Yarrowia lipolytica: one gene and its partner. The protein of the gene in region 1 interacts with the protein of each later gene in a pairwise test. Links are inferred from orthologs where the notes say so. Each region holds a gene or a part of one and is shown on either strand. Other genes may lie near its edges. The genes, in order: YALI1_F07938g and YALI1_A09553g.

Region 1 (8,994 bases):
CGTTCCAGCATCATTCGGAAGGAGTACTTCTTGGGCATAAAGTCTGGAGAAATGTCCATTTGCGAGTCCATGAACGCCTTGACGGCATTTGTGTCGACTTTGGGGGCGTTGATTTCACCTTCCTCGGAGAATCCGAATGAGAAGGACATGTTTTAGACAGCGTTGAATGTGTATGAAAAAAACTACAACCGTGCTGGAAATATTCCATTAAGCTCATCCTGCAGGACACCTTCAAAATGAAAAATGTGTCTGAAAGGAGATATTGGAGTATATATTTTGCAAATCTGAAAGTTGCATTTTATTCACAATAAATCACAGTCTAGATTTCACGTTTTAGCCTCGGAAAAACCACCATCCTATGGTCTCCTTGGAACCACCTCCAGATCCTCTTCAAAACCTAATTATTTATACACCTTCTCCAAACATCACCACATACAGTTCAATACGGTATACGTCACAACCACCATGCTCGACATTGACCAGTTTCTGGACGCAGAATTCGACCCTGTGGCCTACGCCAACCAGCTGGTGCTGCAGACATCGTCGTCACGTGATGAGGACATTGATCTCGACATCCCCATCAAGAAAATATCCTACGACGTACAGCATCTCGACGACCAGGTACGCACGTTATGCAGAGACAATCACAAGGAGCTGCTGTCACGTGTAGCTGATGTAAGCACCAAGGAGGACACGCTCAAGGCTCTGGAAACGCCCATGAAGGATGTCAATTCGTCATACAAAAAGTTGCAGACAGATGTTCTGGGTCCTTACTACCAAGCAGACAATCTTTACTCGGCTCTCAAACGGGTTCACCATACCACCGATCTGCTCAGATCGCTCACCTGGTACCTCTACCTGGCTGTACAACTCAACAACACATCAGATATGGCTGGATCAGCTTCTCTGATTCGAGATTTACACACCCATTCGAAAATCCATCCCGGTCTAGCATCTTTACAGATCTTCAGAGACCATCAGAAGTTACTGAAGGAGGCTGATAAGAAACTGACACTGAGATGCGTTTCTTCAATCAAGAGTGTGTCTTCAGTGTCGACTTCGGCCGAAAGAACCGCCATCTCTTCAGCTATTGTCGGTCTAGCCATCTTAGACGAACGTCAACTTGCGTCGGCCGTCCAATCAGCGCTGTCCAACTACATTTCACAGTCAATTTCTCTTCTGGCGCGCTCAGTCAACTCAGACGAGTCGCTGGAACACGCCATGCATACAATTAGTCAGCACTCTCGAGCAGTGTCGACATTGGGCACTCTGCTGTCACGTGCCGTGGTACCTGCAGAAGGAGACGACAAGTCTGCTACACCTGTCTCTGAGCTGCCTCGAATCGCGGATCTGCTTGATTCTAACCTCAACTCAAAATTCTGGCGAGATGTGGCTTCCGCTCTAAACCTGAGAATCAAGGAGAGAATCACCCGCGCCACTCCGGGACTCAAGAGTCTGCAACAGAACCATGCGAGATTGGAAACTGTGGTTGCAGAGGCTGTCAGTAGAGGTGGCGGAGGATTGACGGTAGATGGAATGGAGGCTAAGGTGATGAAGGGTGCGCTGGCGCCTCTAAAGTAGGAAGCGAACGACGGAAGGGTCGTGAGCTGACAACAACCAAGAAAAGAACGACTATAGGTCATGAATGGCACAGTCGATGGTACCAATTGAGGTCTAGCCTTCCCTCAATAAGTCAACAAGAGTTGCCTGTCTCCGCACAGCTGACAATATATTGCATTAACCAACATATACTGTAGGAGACAAACACCCGTACATACCAAAAGTGTCGTGAGCATGTTCCACTGCTACCTACAGTAAAATACCTCTCGTAGCATCCATCCTCTTAGGCCTAACCATGGTGAGGTGCACAACGAGTAACGTGATTTCATGTTCATTATATCATCCCCTTATAAATATATACTTGTAGTCCGAATGTGTCCTTCCTTATCCTTTCCTAATGTTCCTACTTCTGTTCTCCCTTTCTGCTCCCCCTCCAGGCCCTCTTTAGTTTCCCCGACCTCTACCTCTTCCACCTCGTCCTCTGACACCTCCCCGGCCTCGGCCACCTCCCCGACCACCTCTGAAACCGCCTCTCTGACCTAAAGGAAACATATTAATACCAGACCCTCCATACTCGAACACACCTCCTCCATACTGCCGGCTGGCTCCGTACTCTCGAGTGCCAAAGTCGTCACTCTTGTGCACCTTGCCCTCGCGCATCTTCTGCCGTCGCTTCTTGCCCGGTCGGGCCCGTCGCTCACTCTTCTCCACTTCGGCATTATGAGCGCTTACGTCCAGCACCTTGCTAGGAACATCATACCGATGGTACCCGCCCACCTTGAGGACGGAATCTGCGTCCACAGCCATATCTCGAAACTGGGCTACCAGATCCTGCTTCTTGGGCTCGGGCTCTGCAAACGTAAAGTAGTACGCCAAGGGACGAAACTTGTTGCGCGCAGCAGCAGCATACTCGTCGTTGAACTTCTCCTTGGCCCGACCAATACTGGCAGTGCCCTCATCCACAAACCCCTCAAACACAGGCTTCACGTCCTTGACAACAACCGTTTCGGGCGCGCCAGAAAACAGATTGAATGTGAACTCGGGAGCCTCCTCAGACTCCGAGCCATCGTCTCCCTCAACAGCTTCTGAGACCTCAACCACCGTCATCTCCTGGTCCGAATCAGTGTCATCATTCTCGACCTCAACCTCCTCGAACGCAAACAGATTCTCGTAGCCTGCATACGACGAGTTTCCAACTTCGCCCTCGCTGTCGCTCCCGCCTCCAAATAACTCTTTTCGTGAAATTTTAGACATGTTGTGTGTGCCTTATATTGTAAGATGATTCAGTTTTCACCGAGCTCAAGACTTCGATTTTTTTAAGGTTGTGCATATACTCTGTCTCGTATTATTATGATGTATTACAATGTACGCCATGCTTCTACATGTACGTACCATTAACCATTCCAGTTCATGGACTGACTGGCATCATTCGTACAAATCCTCAACCTGTGCCAGGTGATCAAACAGCCATTCGTTATTAATACATTTTACATCTAAGAGTTCAGCTTCTCCCGAATGGAGGTGAGGAACTGATGGTAAGTGACGCCGCTCTGCTCCACTCGGTCCTCGACCAGATGGGTGGTGGCCCACAGTCGCAGAGCAGGCTCGCCGTCCTCCCGCACCACGTACAGATGCTGGTAGGTGATGGCATCTGTCTTTTCTCGAGCCTTGGAAATGATGTTTCGGATTCGCTCGTTGAACTGGTTGTCCAGCACGGGCAGTTCTGTCTTGCCTGTGGGCACCTCGGTGATGGAAGACACGCCAAACACGTCCTGCAACAGTGCAGGCTGTGCATCCCGGCCTACCCACAGGAACATGACCTGGCCGTCGTCAATGAGGAACAGACCATGGCTGATCAGATGCTCGCCACTGAGGTTTGTGCAGGGAGGCATGACAATCTGGCCGGTCTCGGCGTCAGGCAGACCAGCTTCATCGGGCATGAAGATGAGGTTGTAAAAGTTGGGATAAATGTACTGGATCAGGTACTTGTCGGGCAGGGTCGACAGGAGACACAGGGCCGCAGACCGCAGATCCGAGGGGATCTGCGAGGTCTTTCGGAAACCAATGTGCTTGATCAGAGCGTTCACCAGCAGAGGCAGCATTCGCAGGTTGGTGCAGAACTGCAGGGGGGCGGAGGCGCCGACGTTGGTGGTCATCAAATCCTTCTTGTAGCAGGTGAACATCTCGTTGAGTCGGTTCATGAGCAAATCCCGTGCGTCCTGAGGACCCTTTTGCAGAGCCTTCTCCACTGCCTTGTTGGCAAGGTAAGTGGTGATAGCGATCTGGTCAGCAGACGCGTAAATGTCCTGCAGCAGAGCCGAGGTGGGGAAGGCCCGGGTGATGACTCGGATGCGTCGCTCGCCAGAGGCAGTGCTGTGCAGAATAGCGGCCTGGAAAGTCACCCAGGGCTTGACAATCGTCTCCTCAATATTGACCTCAATCACGTAGCTCTGATCTCGAGGGAAAGTGGAGAAAGAGCACAGATCCGAAGATCGGGAGAAGAAGTTGCCGTAGAAGGCGCTCATTCGAATACCGTCGCAAGATCGCACTCGCAGAACGGCCTCGGTAGCCAACTCCTGAGACAGGTACTCGGAGAACTCCAGAGCAAATTTGTTGGCGTCCTCAGGGTTTGAGGCAATCCAGCCAGGGTAGAAGTAAGTCTGACCGGCGGAGAATCGGGGCAGGTTGGAGAGAGATGCAACGTCCTGGTAGTGAGAGGAGAACAGGAACATGTCCACGGTCACCTGAGTCTTGGAGCACTCCACGGCAAACGATTTGTAGAAGGTGGAGGCTGTCTGGAGCATCTGGCCCTCTCGCGAGGTACCCAGAGCCTTCTTGTCATCTCGAACCTCGAGCTTGCCCTGTCCAACGTTGGGGAGGGTAGAGGTCAGACACACAATCTTACCGCCAATGTTGGCAATGAGCTTGTGAGCAGCCACGACAGCAGATCCCAGAGCCGAGGCGGGGTTGACTGTGTGAGCAAACATGGACTGCAGAGAATCCAGCAGCTTTTCAATGCCGCCCTTGCACTGGGAGAGATTAACCAGCAGGTCGGTAGGCATGGGGAGGAAGGGGTCGTCAATGTCGGAGACAACCATCATCCGGGGCTCGGGCCACTCGTTCTCCTCTCCCTCTTCGCCCTCGCCCTCCGCCACGTCCTCCTTTCGGGGAATGGCGAAGTAGTGCAGCGACGAGTCGACTGCGAGGAAACCGACTCGGGTTCGGTTATCCACGTTGGGGATTCGTGATAGCGACTCCTTGATGGTTCGCGCAGCGGTGGCCAGCAGACCGTTCTTGACAGAGTGCACAGACACATCCAGAACGAACACGTAGACCAGAGGCTGAGGAGGTCGCACCATGTACTCTGCGGGAGCCACGAACTCAACGACAGAGTGGTTGAGCTCCGCTCGGGACCATCGGTCTCGGGGCTTGTTGGCCACGGCATCATAGTCAAAGCCAGAGGGCACATCGTTGGTCAGGTTGCACATGTTGCACCGCCATCGAGCGCCACCCTCCAAAAAGACAACATAGGGGTTGATGTAGGACCGACATCGTCGGCATCGAGCAATGGTGGTGTCGGCCACGGTGGGGACATTCTCGTCGGCATCTCGCAGCGCAGTGTAGGGTCGGATGACCAATGCAAACGGCAACTTGGACTTTTTGAGCAGCGACGACGATGTAGGCACGGTGTTGAGGGTGCATCGCATGAACTCCGAGTCAGCGTTGGGATCGGGGTTGCCAGTCACCGAGGATCCGGGGGGCAAGATCACGGGAGGGGGAGGCAGGGTGAGATCGGAAATGGGAGGGGGGAAGTTCTGCAGCAGATCGGTGTTGTAGATCTGGTTGAGCTGGGTCGGGGCAGCCATGTGAGCTCCGCCAGCCGCTCCGGGTGGAGCACCTCCTTGGTAGGCGCCGCCGCCGCCAATGTTGAGGTTGCCCATCTGGTTGGTAAGACCCTGGTAGCCGTACGCGGCTCCAGCGGCCTGGGGGGCGCCGTAGGCCATTCCTCCAGCCACACCGGGGGCCACGGGAGGATCCACGGCCGATCCGGGAGTCCCGGGGGGAGGAGCGAACGCGCCAGACTGCACGTTGGCGGTGTGGGGCTGGAAAGCTGCGGGCGAGGGAATGGCATGAGCTCCACCGTACATGGCAGCACTGGGAGAGGCGGAGGCTCCGTAGGGCTGGGTGGGGTCGGGCATCGAGTAGCCGGCGGGCTGGGCCGCGGCGAAGTCATACTGTTGCTGGGGGTAGACCCGTCGCTTGGACGAAGAGCCCTGTTCGGGGTGTTCTTGGCTCATCTGGGTTAGTCAAGGTATTGGTGAGTGGCTGCAGGCACGGACGGGAAATGTGACGACGCAGTCGCGGTGGTGAAAGGCCATAGATCTCGAGCGGACAAGATCGTCCCATCTGATGCGACGAAAGATCGCGGGATCCTGTTTGTGGCACATCAAACCCGACATCAGACACAGGCACAGACGCTGCACATGACGGTATTATAGCAAAACCATCAATTCCGAAAGTGGTTTTGGTGATGATTGCGTTCGTGTAGAATCAATATTTTGCTTGTGTCCGATCAGCCACCTTTTGATCTGTGTCGTTGTGTCCTTCTCTGAGTCCGTGTCACAAATCGTGTCGCACCAGGTTGTCCCCATATATGACACCTTTGCAGCTGTAGATGGCAATTGAAGGTGTGGTTTTGATGCGACTCATTCTGTGTCACTTGTCATCCTCCGTTCATCTCAAGTCAATGGACTCACCGTCTCCTAGTCCACTTGTTACTCACCTCAGTCGTGTTCACACCGTGATAGTTATGTTAACGTGGGAGTTTACTTTGGTGTGCTGTTCAGAAGCCGGCCGGGTAATGCCACGTAAGAGTCACGTGAATCTAAGGGGAGGGGTGGTTGGGTGGCAACAGACGAGATTAACAGACCAATATAGATCAGGGCTAGGGTACGAGGCCCCTCAAACAAATAATTTTACCGTCCAGTAAATTTTCCACCCTCCTTTGCCCCTTCTACTCGTTCAATACATCCCCATCTCCACCGTTCTCTTCAGATATAGATCTCTTCGCTGAAAGCGTAATGTGGTGTTGTTCAGCCTTGAAGCAGGAAGTGTATTTGGCGGTGTGAAATAGTTCTGACAGCAACGCGAGCCACGCGAAAGGGAACGACAGGCACTCAAAATGACGTGGTAAAGGTCCTGTTTTTTTACACATGATTAAATGAGAAGATTGTGGCTTATTTATATATTTTTTCTTGCAGAAATCACCCCATTTCGACAAAATCATTACTGTTTTGGCGCATGGTACATTCCGCCGTGCGAGTCAAACGCGTCGACGTGTTAGGAGTGCGAGTGCCAGTACAAGTGTCGGTTGTATAACTAAGTACAGGTGGTACGAGTGCGAGTACGTACCTTGTAGTAACCATGATCGTCGTTTGTTGAGTCTGAGAATATTGATTGTCTTCTACTTGTACTTGTACTACCAGTGTAAGTACTACCAGTTTGTACGATAGTCGTATCTATGTACTATCTTTCAGTATTGTACAGCACATACTTTACATGATTATTGATAATGCAAAAAAACTGAAAGAAATATGAGAAATAGAATATTGTAAATATGAGCGATAGAATATTGTAAATATGAGCGATAGAATATTGTATATATTTGTCGTGGTGTGTGCAGATGGTGTTGTCCAGCAAGACAAGTTCTTCAAAGAATAACAGCGTAGTCCATACTCGTACTACATACATCAAGACCCCATACAATCATTGTCTTCGTTATCAGTTCTTGTACCCGTATCTACTGTACATACTTGTATCTTCATTGCCATTGTTGTATCTAAACTACTGGAAGTCTCTGGAGCAAGATTGAGAGTGGTATGTGTCGACCCTTGAGGGCCGATGCAACCTATAGGGGATGCGGTCGGATTGACAGACCGCCTACTGCCAATGTTTGTTACTGCTCTGCTATCCGTCTACGGAGCTACTCCACCAACTCACCAACGTACCCACCATCTGCCAATACGCTACTCCTCCCTAGATCTAAATCGCGAGCTTCGAAAAGTGGGTGAGACATGTCCTCAACTGTCCCCGACCACGCTGGTGTCCGTATGGAATACGTCGTGGCTGTAAGACACAACAATCTCCCCGCTCGTATTCCGACAGATCCACCGGGCCACTCTTGGACGAGCCGCGCGTGCAAAACACAATATGCTCCGAGACCCGACCTTGGCATCTGGATCTTGCTCTTGCGATACGACTACTGTGCCCGTAAAGCTCCCATATAGATACATGCTCGCGCCTCGATAGGCTTATACGGGGGTTGCGTTTTTTTGGGGGTAAAAAAAAGGATACAAAAAAGGGTAAAAAAAATAGTACGTACCTTATTAGCGACGCACGTACGTGGGCTGCGTCCATCAACCCCGCCCATCAATCCATGGAATCTTTGCCGTGAGACACACAAGTTTCAGACTTGCTCCTTTTGAGTCTTCTCATCATTTACGACAGTTCTTTTTCCACCCACAGCCATCCGACTTGTGCATCTCCGTATCCTAGCCGAGCCCATTCGGGGTGCATGACAACTGCGGGATCTTGGGGGTAGAGTGTTTAGCGAAATTAATATATGCAGTATAGTGCAGGATGAGCTAAGAAGCATTCTACAAACAGTTGTATACAGGCACCAGACATTTATATAGTTATTGGGAAACGTCGAGTGGCGTAAGATGGCGGTGCCCTGGAGCCACTCACACATGTATCATAGGTTTAATAAGTCCCGCACGGGTCGTTTCTAATGTAATGTCTCATGTCTAAGAACCACGGTGTATTCACCGAACTATCCTTGAGATACTCATTGCTCATCGCTACGGGCTCGACGCTGGCATTTTTTCTCCGATAATTTCACGGTGGACGTACCCACAGGCCATCCCTTCTGCTTTGGGAACTCGCGTATCCAGCGAAAAGCCCTGCGGCATTCTGGGGACCGAGAATTAGTGTTGATGCTAGCGCAAGGCTTGTTCTTTAGTGGGCATCTACCGCAGCTACTATACACGAGCGCGACGTAGGTATAGCATGCCAAAGGCGGGTGCGATACCAGATGACGCTATAATATGCCAGATTTGCACTAGCACACATCACTGGAAGCTGTCAATTTGAAAATGTCAATGCAGTCTCACCATTGGACGATCTTGGCACCTCCTAAACTCTGGCAATGTCTGAGCTCTTTGACACATAAGACATCAAGCAGACGGTCTAAAATCATATGCCATGTAAAGAACTACTAGTGCCTGTAGAAGACGCCTGTAGAAGACGCCTGTAGAAGACGCCTGTAGAAGACGGCTACTTGTATATTCTCACTTGTCGTGCTTCACTCACGGCTCGATGTCCACTGCTTACCTCAGCGGCAGCGGGCGGAAAAAGCCTACAAACCCCTGTCGG
Region 2 (7,204 bases), on another chromosome or scaffold:
TGGAGGTTCTTGATTTCCTCAAGAGACATGGTTGTCAGCAGAGAAAGATCAGTAGCGTTACCCCAGAGAGAGATATCAGAGAACTCCTTGAAGAGCTCCTTGAGGGTGGCCTCGTCAGAGACGCCGTTAAGCTGCTCAGCAAGGGCCTTGTACCGCGTAGCGAGCTCGGAGACACCAGCAGAAGAGGCCTTGAAAGCATCCTCCTTCTGACTGCTGAAGATGTCGTAAGTCTTCCAGTTCTTGGTCTGATCAAAGTAGACCTGGAGCTCTCGGTAGAGGTAGCACTCAACAAAGACCCATCCGCCCTGAAGCCAGGAAGTAGGGTTCTCCTTAAGCAGACGGTTGTAAACGGGGATGTCGTCGGCAACGTTGGGAAGCTCCTTCAGGGGCTTGTCGTGCTCAACATCGTGCTTGAGAGCGGTGATTTGCTCGAGGACCTTCTTGAGCTCATCTCGCTTCTCTCCCTCGGGGGTCTCGGCAATGGTCTTGTGAACATCGTCAATGACACCAGTGAGGATGTGAGGCCATCGATCCCGAGAAGAGGTGTATGCAAAGGAGTTCTTGTCGTTGTTCAGGTAGACCTGAGGGTGCTTGAAATCGGTAGTGGAGACAGTAGACATTTTTTTGTTTCTGTTTAGAGTCAATTGAGCAGTGAGGGTGGGCGGGAGTTGCTCTTTTATATGTGTCGTTTTGGTTACACAGCGCTATAGACCGCACACAGTTTATCCTGATTAACGTTACCTGCGTTGTTGGAAAGGGAACCCTATGACGAAATCTGACGTTGGAGGTGCACGTTGTTTTTGGGTTGACATGAAGACGTTTGGGACGTGTAGGAAGTGAGAGGTGCAACGTGGTAAACAGACAAGATGACACGGACTGGAGTGTTCTTAACAGTAAACCATAGGTACAGTAATCATGAACGTGCCATTTTATTCCCGAAGCGTCACTGACACAGTTAGGGCTTTGTGGGGGGGTTGCATCTGTTGTTTCTAGCACTTGTTGGGCACACCTCAACGAACCGAGGGATTATAAACGTAGACATTTCTGTTAGTTATTGGTATCCAATTGAACGCGTGAACCTGCTCAGTTCCATGGTGCAAAGCAAACCTTGTTATTGGTACAACCGCGGCCACTATTTCACTCACTAACCAACTTCCAGGATTGGGTTCATGGAACAACGTAGAACTTTGGAAAGTCATGTGATTAGCAATGTTACAAGTGTGAGTACAGTACATACTGTCGGTACAAGTGGAGGGTCATTTTTTAACCACAATGTAGAGTCTATACTGTGCCAGTACAGTACTTGTACTGTATTTTTTGGCCTACTGCTGGATCTGTGTTCACAAATGATAGAGCAATACAACCGCGCATCATATACAGGAACTTGTACACTCAATTGCAATAGCATAAACGTAAATCCACCACCACAGGGTGGATACAGTTGGTCATTCTCGCACGCCCTGTCTTTGCTCCTTTTTCAAACAAGAGGCGTATTATTATATACGGTCTTCCTATCTTTCACTCCTCTGTACAAATAACCTTACTGTAGAGTATTCGTAGGTGAGATGCGTGAGTTATATCCACCCACTTCTGAAACTTCGATGTTACTGGTTCACTTTCAGTCAAAACAGAAACCTACTTAACGAGATAGAGCCCTGGAAGAGTGCAAAGTCCCCATTCCAGGTGATAAACTGGATGTGGATGTTCAGAGGAGTCATACAAGTACATACGAGTACATTGTGCAGTCTCCCTGATCTACATGCACAAGTTGAATGACGTCATTAGAGAGAGCCTATGCACAAATACGGAATTAGTGAAACGTGGCATCAAGTGGCCATCACGTGACCCCACGGAATATTTGCAGGACACCGATACCGGCCCATGTGGCTCCTCTCCATTGTACAGAACTTGCATCCAAACAATGATATCAACACAAGCAGCATGCTCACCCTTAGCTCAGGATGCCCGCACCTGGTTAGTTATAATTAGGAGGAGTGCTCACAGAAACGGTCGAGCTCCGACCATCAGCAACAAGTACATGTGATTTGTTGTGGCAGGGTATCGATTGCCCCTCAAAGGGTCTCAACACCGCCCCCCCTTGCATGGTATCTTTGGTGCATGCCACTAAAGATCCGTATGACATAAGCATGTTTTTTTCTTCTTTGAGTTCATGTGGTCCTACTGAAAAATAGAAAAATGTACATACTCAGGAATTGAACCCACGGATAGCCTCGCCCTTACACAATCATGCATAGTCTCAGGAAATATCAAGGCGGACAAGACAACCGGTTCACCATTATCACATAATGTCTCGAACACTGAAGGAGGAATTCCAACACTCATTGGATCTAATCGATACCTTGAAACGATCCAGTCACCCATTTGTCTCCGAAGAGTACCAATTGCAAGTCAAGGAGGTGCTAGAATCACTGGATCAATGCTCTAAAATGATCTCGTCTTTGGGCATCTTCTCAGACAACGAGTCCTGGGAGGACCTAAAAACAAATGAAATCGTTTACCTGACAATCCCTTATCACAAGGCTCTGGCGCTGGAACGGGTACGAGTACAAGGTGCCGAAGATCGCAAAAATCTGGTGTACCACCAAGTCAAGAGTTACAATGACTTTCTCAAATCGCTCGACCATTACGGCCTGCTACCTAAAACACATGCCTCTCGTCTGGAGTCATTTCTGGCGGGCCAGCTAACCATCGAAAACGTCGCATCCAAGGTGAAGGAGCTCTCAGATCAACTGCGACCCACTGACGCCGCCGTTTTCCGAGCTGAGAAGATTGCCAAACACAAGGCCGAGAAGGAACTGGAAGGAAAACTGAATTTGCTTCAGAAAACTGAGGCCAAGCAGAAAGATCCAGATGCGCCGAATGTCGACGAAGATGAAGTCAGAGACTTGAGAAAGGAGGAGCTGAAGCTCTATACTCTGAAATCCTTGAATACACTTGAGATGCTCAGCATGGAGGTTCAAATGCTAGCAAGAGCACCCAGCAGGCCTGAGCCTCCCATCGATCTGATGAGACGTGCGCAGGCTGAACAGGATCAGGATGGGCGAGAGAGACAGATAGAGGACGTGACAGGCTACACTGACAAGCTTGAGAAGAATCCTCTCACTGAGGCAGGTCGACCTATTCTCGATTCAATGGGCAAAATAAACAGACCGTTTAAATTGGTGAGCACTCGTCAGCAGCTACAGAGCAAGGTGCGTGGAACAGGTCAATATCTCCCCACCATGTCTGTTGAGGATTATCTGGAGGAAGAGAAACGACGAGGAGGAATCATCGAAGGAGGAGGAGAAATTCCTTCTACTGAAAAGAGCGACAATGACATGGATGACGAAGCCGCAGACAGGGAAACAATGAAGGCACGGGAATGGGATGAGTTTGTGGAGGCGAACCCCAAGGGTAGTGGAAACACTATGAACATGGGATAGGCGGTATATACAGAGCCATAGAAAATAACTGTACATGACGTGCAAAATATTTTGCAATGGTATTTGCCACCGAGATGCGGTCTGACTGGTTACAAGTACAAGTAATTAGTATGCTGCTGCTTCTTATACATTCTACAGTGTCTGCGAGCAAGATTCGATACAGGGTAATATATATATATATATATCATAAATCAATTTATTCTTCGTTATAGATTACTCCTGGTTCTGCTTCTTTCGAGTATCAAACACCTCAAGAACAGTCTCAGCAGCCTTGACTCCACTGAGGGCCATAGCACCGAAAGTGGGACCCATTCGGTTGGCACCGTCAACCTCAGACAGCTCCATACCACCGACAACCAGGCCGGGGACGATCTCTCGGGTTCGCTTAACAATAGCATCCTCAGCAAGGCCCATGTCAAGACCTCGCATGCCACCTAGCTTCTCAATGGCGTTCATGGAGACAAGTCGCTTGACAGAGAAGGCACCGAATGGGCCGTCATGACCAGTGGTGGAGATGATGATAGGAGCATTGATGGTGTTGGGGTCCATACAGGACTGGTCATCATGGTGCATGGAAACTAGGGTCCAGTTGGTGACGACACCTGCAATTCGAAGGTTGCCCTGGGCATCCTTTCGGGTAATGAGGTCCTCAACGGCAGTAGCGTTGAAGAGCTTAACATTGGGGAACTTGAGCACCTGGCTCATGAGAGTAGAGGTGAAAAGGGCAGCGTGCTTAACAACGACGTAGTCTCCCTCATCTTCGTAAGGGACACCGATCTCTTCAAGGAACTGCTCGGCAGGCTTTCGCATAACCATGGCAGAGAAGAGCTGTCCTCCAAGCCAAGCACCTCCTCCGGGAGCAACACCAGCCTCAACGATGGCAATCTTGAGGTCGGGTCGGCTCTTGGCAAGAACATAGGCAGCAGAGAGACCACAGGAGCCAGCTCCAATGATAACAACATCAGACTCAGCGTACTTGTCAAGATCCTCAAAGTATCGTCGAGTCATAGCTCGAGAGACAGTGGACTCACGGATGGGGGCGAACTTGAAAGACTCCCAAGTGTGCTCATCAGACTTAGTGAGCTTCTGGTTGAACTCATGGACCATATCAAGACCAGTAGCCTGAGAGGAGAGGGGGTGGGCAACGACAGCAGGAGGTGGGGCCATGTTAATTGTAGGTGATATAAGGGGAAGGGTGTGTGGACGTAACAAGGGGATCCAGCCCTGTTTAAATACTTTTACAGCGCAGCCGACAGTATGTGATTTACGGCAGGCCACCAAAAGGGATGCAGTAGAGTTGCGCTAAAGTTCAAAATGAGTCGAGTTAAGCAAAGTCACTGGCTATGGCTTGGACTAAACAATGGCTTGTACGCTGTTTATCTAACAGGGTACTGGTTTAGAACCGACACCATGGCACGCACGGTTTGGAAACAATCCAATTGAAGCACAGTAGTGAATGGTGACTGGTGCCCTAATAGCGGCTAGAGTCTTGGACGGTTGTTGGTAGACATTAAGCTCTAGCCTTACAGTCTAGATCCCCCTCATCCAGAAGTCAACGACAAGATTGATTGGGTTTGCGCATGATAGTAGAAAGAAGCGTTCAATATATGTCAGAGGGCCTCGAAATAGCTCAATTAATGCCAAACTTCAATTCAACATTTCCCCTGTTGAATTTGGGTCACTGCTGTGTCTTTTTCGAGTCGAGCATTGTACGTCTTATCGACGCTCTCCTTCTCAATGTTATCTCCTGCACTGTCTGACTCGCAGCGAGTCGCCCTACTGAGTCGCCCCAATCATGTTGAGTCATTTGTGTGCAGATTTGGTGCGTTGGAGGAGTCATGTCAAAATAGGGTAGCCCCATAGATATCGACTCGAGAGCTCAGAGACAGGTAAAAAAACGTAGAACAGTACCCTAAATCAATCTGATAAGTGCCTTACGGCCTGTTTACACCCCAGAGGTCTTCTGAGCGTTGTCTTTTGTGCCTCTGGCTCTCTCCGCTCTAAACTCTTGAGTCTTCAATTGACTCTATGAAAAGTCTAATTTAGGCACGAACTGTTGACCACAAAGAATCCCCCGGAAAGAAACCAAAGGAATCCCCGGAAATCGTGTAACCTAAGTTCAATATGAATCTAATGCCCAACGTGATGAAACTTACGACTACCCCTCGGTGTCACCTTCTGCCTCCGTCAGTGCGCCGATTGCTATCTCGCGGTGCACACTGAGTGGGTCCCTTGACTCCAATCAAGTGGCTCTCAAAAGTATGTTCTTGCGGCTGCTACAAGAAGCTACAAGTAGCTAATTAGTAGTACGAGTACTTGCAAAGTAGTAAGGACTCAAGACAGTAAGAGTCAGAGTCTGCAATCACAACTCCATAGGTGTGGACGGACCATTTGTGGGTCTTTGTAACCCCAGGCGGCCGAAAATGCACGAGACGAGTCATCCGAGTCATCCGAGTCACACAATTCATAAATAGCTCCGTACAGAGTCACCCGAGTCACTACTGTACAGTAGTTAGCTACAGGATTCCTGTGCATATTTGAAGTGCCAAGATGGTTTTAATGAGTCCCAACGAGCCACCTGCTACTGGTACGGCATATTTAGTCTGCCATGTTAGCCCACTTGTAGCTGCCCGAACCTCAACAGCGTGTACCAATCATGATGTGGAAATCTGTCTTAAAGGTTGTTTCACTGATGATTGCCGTTGTATCCACCCCATTTTTTACGACGTATTGTAGTAGTACTTGTACGAGAGTGGTCTCTTAGATTAATGACACTTCTATAAGTACTGTATGTACATATGAGTACATAAAGAACAGTACATACAGTACACACAGTACTTGTAGTATAGAGGACGGATAGAAATGGGTAGCTTCTTGCTACAAGTACACGTTACGGGTGGCGGAGGCTACATACATACATCTAAGACAACGTATGCTGTAGGAGATGGACGAAGTCGACTCATTGGCCGCAATAGGAGGCATCAGCAAGGAAAGGAACCAATAAAGCTACGTACTTGCTATTTGCTTCTTATTAGAAGAAGTATTAGTCAGGATGCGGAGGTTTTTCTGAACTTAATCGTTGTGAACTTATGGATTGATAACATTACAAGTACAAAAAAGGATTGGACGCTTGGATGTTACTTACAGTACATGTTGTACCCACAGTAAGATCATCTTCGGCGAAAGAGCTACATTATGTCCATATATGCTCAAGTCATAAACGAGATTTTTGAAATGAGAGGATACAGTACATACTTGTAGTGGCAGACACCAGTGATACGCAGTTTGTGCGTTGCAGTAAAAATAATAAAATAATCATTAGTGAAATACATGTGCAGACACTCATCCTTCATGCAAACGAACAAGCCATAAATAATCCAACCCCCCACGTCCCCGCATCTAAATCTCTTTCAAGTAGCCCTGAAGTAACAATGTCTGGACATCACTTCGCCGAACAAAAAATTGCGAATCTTTCTCAAGGTTGAACACTCCGTATTCAGTTTGTACCTCGCCCACGCTTTGCAACACTCTAACATCAATGAACACATCGTTGGGAGGCTCCAATGATCCTGTCAGATCGATATCGGTGTACGGGCCCTTGATGTCAACAATGAGATCCTCATACGCCTTCATGTACTCCTGCTCATTACCGTTGAGGTTTGGTTCCTCCGTCTGTTTCCATGCGGCTTCATTCATACGCCGGGCACGCGTGAATTGATATGCCAACAAGCAGCGTTTGTCTCGTCGCATGGCGAGATGCT

Evidence for each region.
Region 2: the proteins of YALI1_F07938g (region 1) and YALI1_A09553g interact in a two-hybrid assay, tested with the Schizosaccharomyces pombe proteins (2 studies listed by BioGRID). The link is inferred for Yarrowia lipolytica from reciprocal best matches to the Schizosaccharomyces pombe genes sec24 and thi2.

Annotation. Positions count from the first base shown.
Region 1 is NC_090775.1:787,979-796,972, forward strand, and holds YALI1_F07938g (uncharacterized protein), read right to left. Parts: upstream 5,859-8,994; coding exon 3,054-5,858; downstream 1-3,053. Other genes in the region: YALI1_F07881g (uncharacterized protein), read right to left, coding at 1-149; YALI1_F07884g (uncharacterized protein), read left to right, coding at 466-1,581; YALI1_F07907g (uncharacterized protein), read right to left, coding at 2,005-2,814. UniProt on the Schizosaccharomyces pombe protein: Component of the coat protein complex II (COPII) which promotes the formation of transport vesicles from the endoplasmic reticulum (ER).
Region 2 is NC_090770.1:952,717-959,920, reverse strand, and holds YALI1_A09553g (uncharacterized protein), read right to left. Parts: upstream 4,611-7,204; coding exon 3,657-4,610; downstream 1-3,656. Other genes in the region: YALI1_A09593g (uncharacterized protein), read right to left, coding at 1-620; YALI1_A09576g (uncharacterized protein), read left to right, coding at 2,307-3,443; YALI1_A09524g (uncharacterized protein), read right to left, coding at 6,843-7,204. UniProt on the Schizosaccharomyces pombe protein: Involved in biosynthesis of the thiamine precursor thiazole. Catalyzes the conversion of NAD and glycine to adenosine diphosphate 5-(2-hydroxyethyl)-4-methylthiazole-2-carboxylic acid (ADT), an adenylated thiazole intermediate.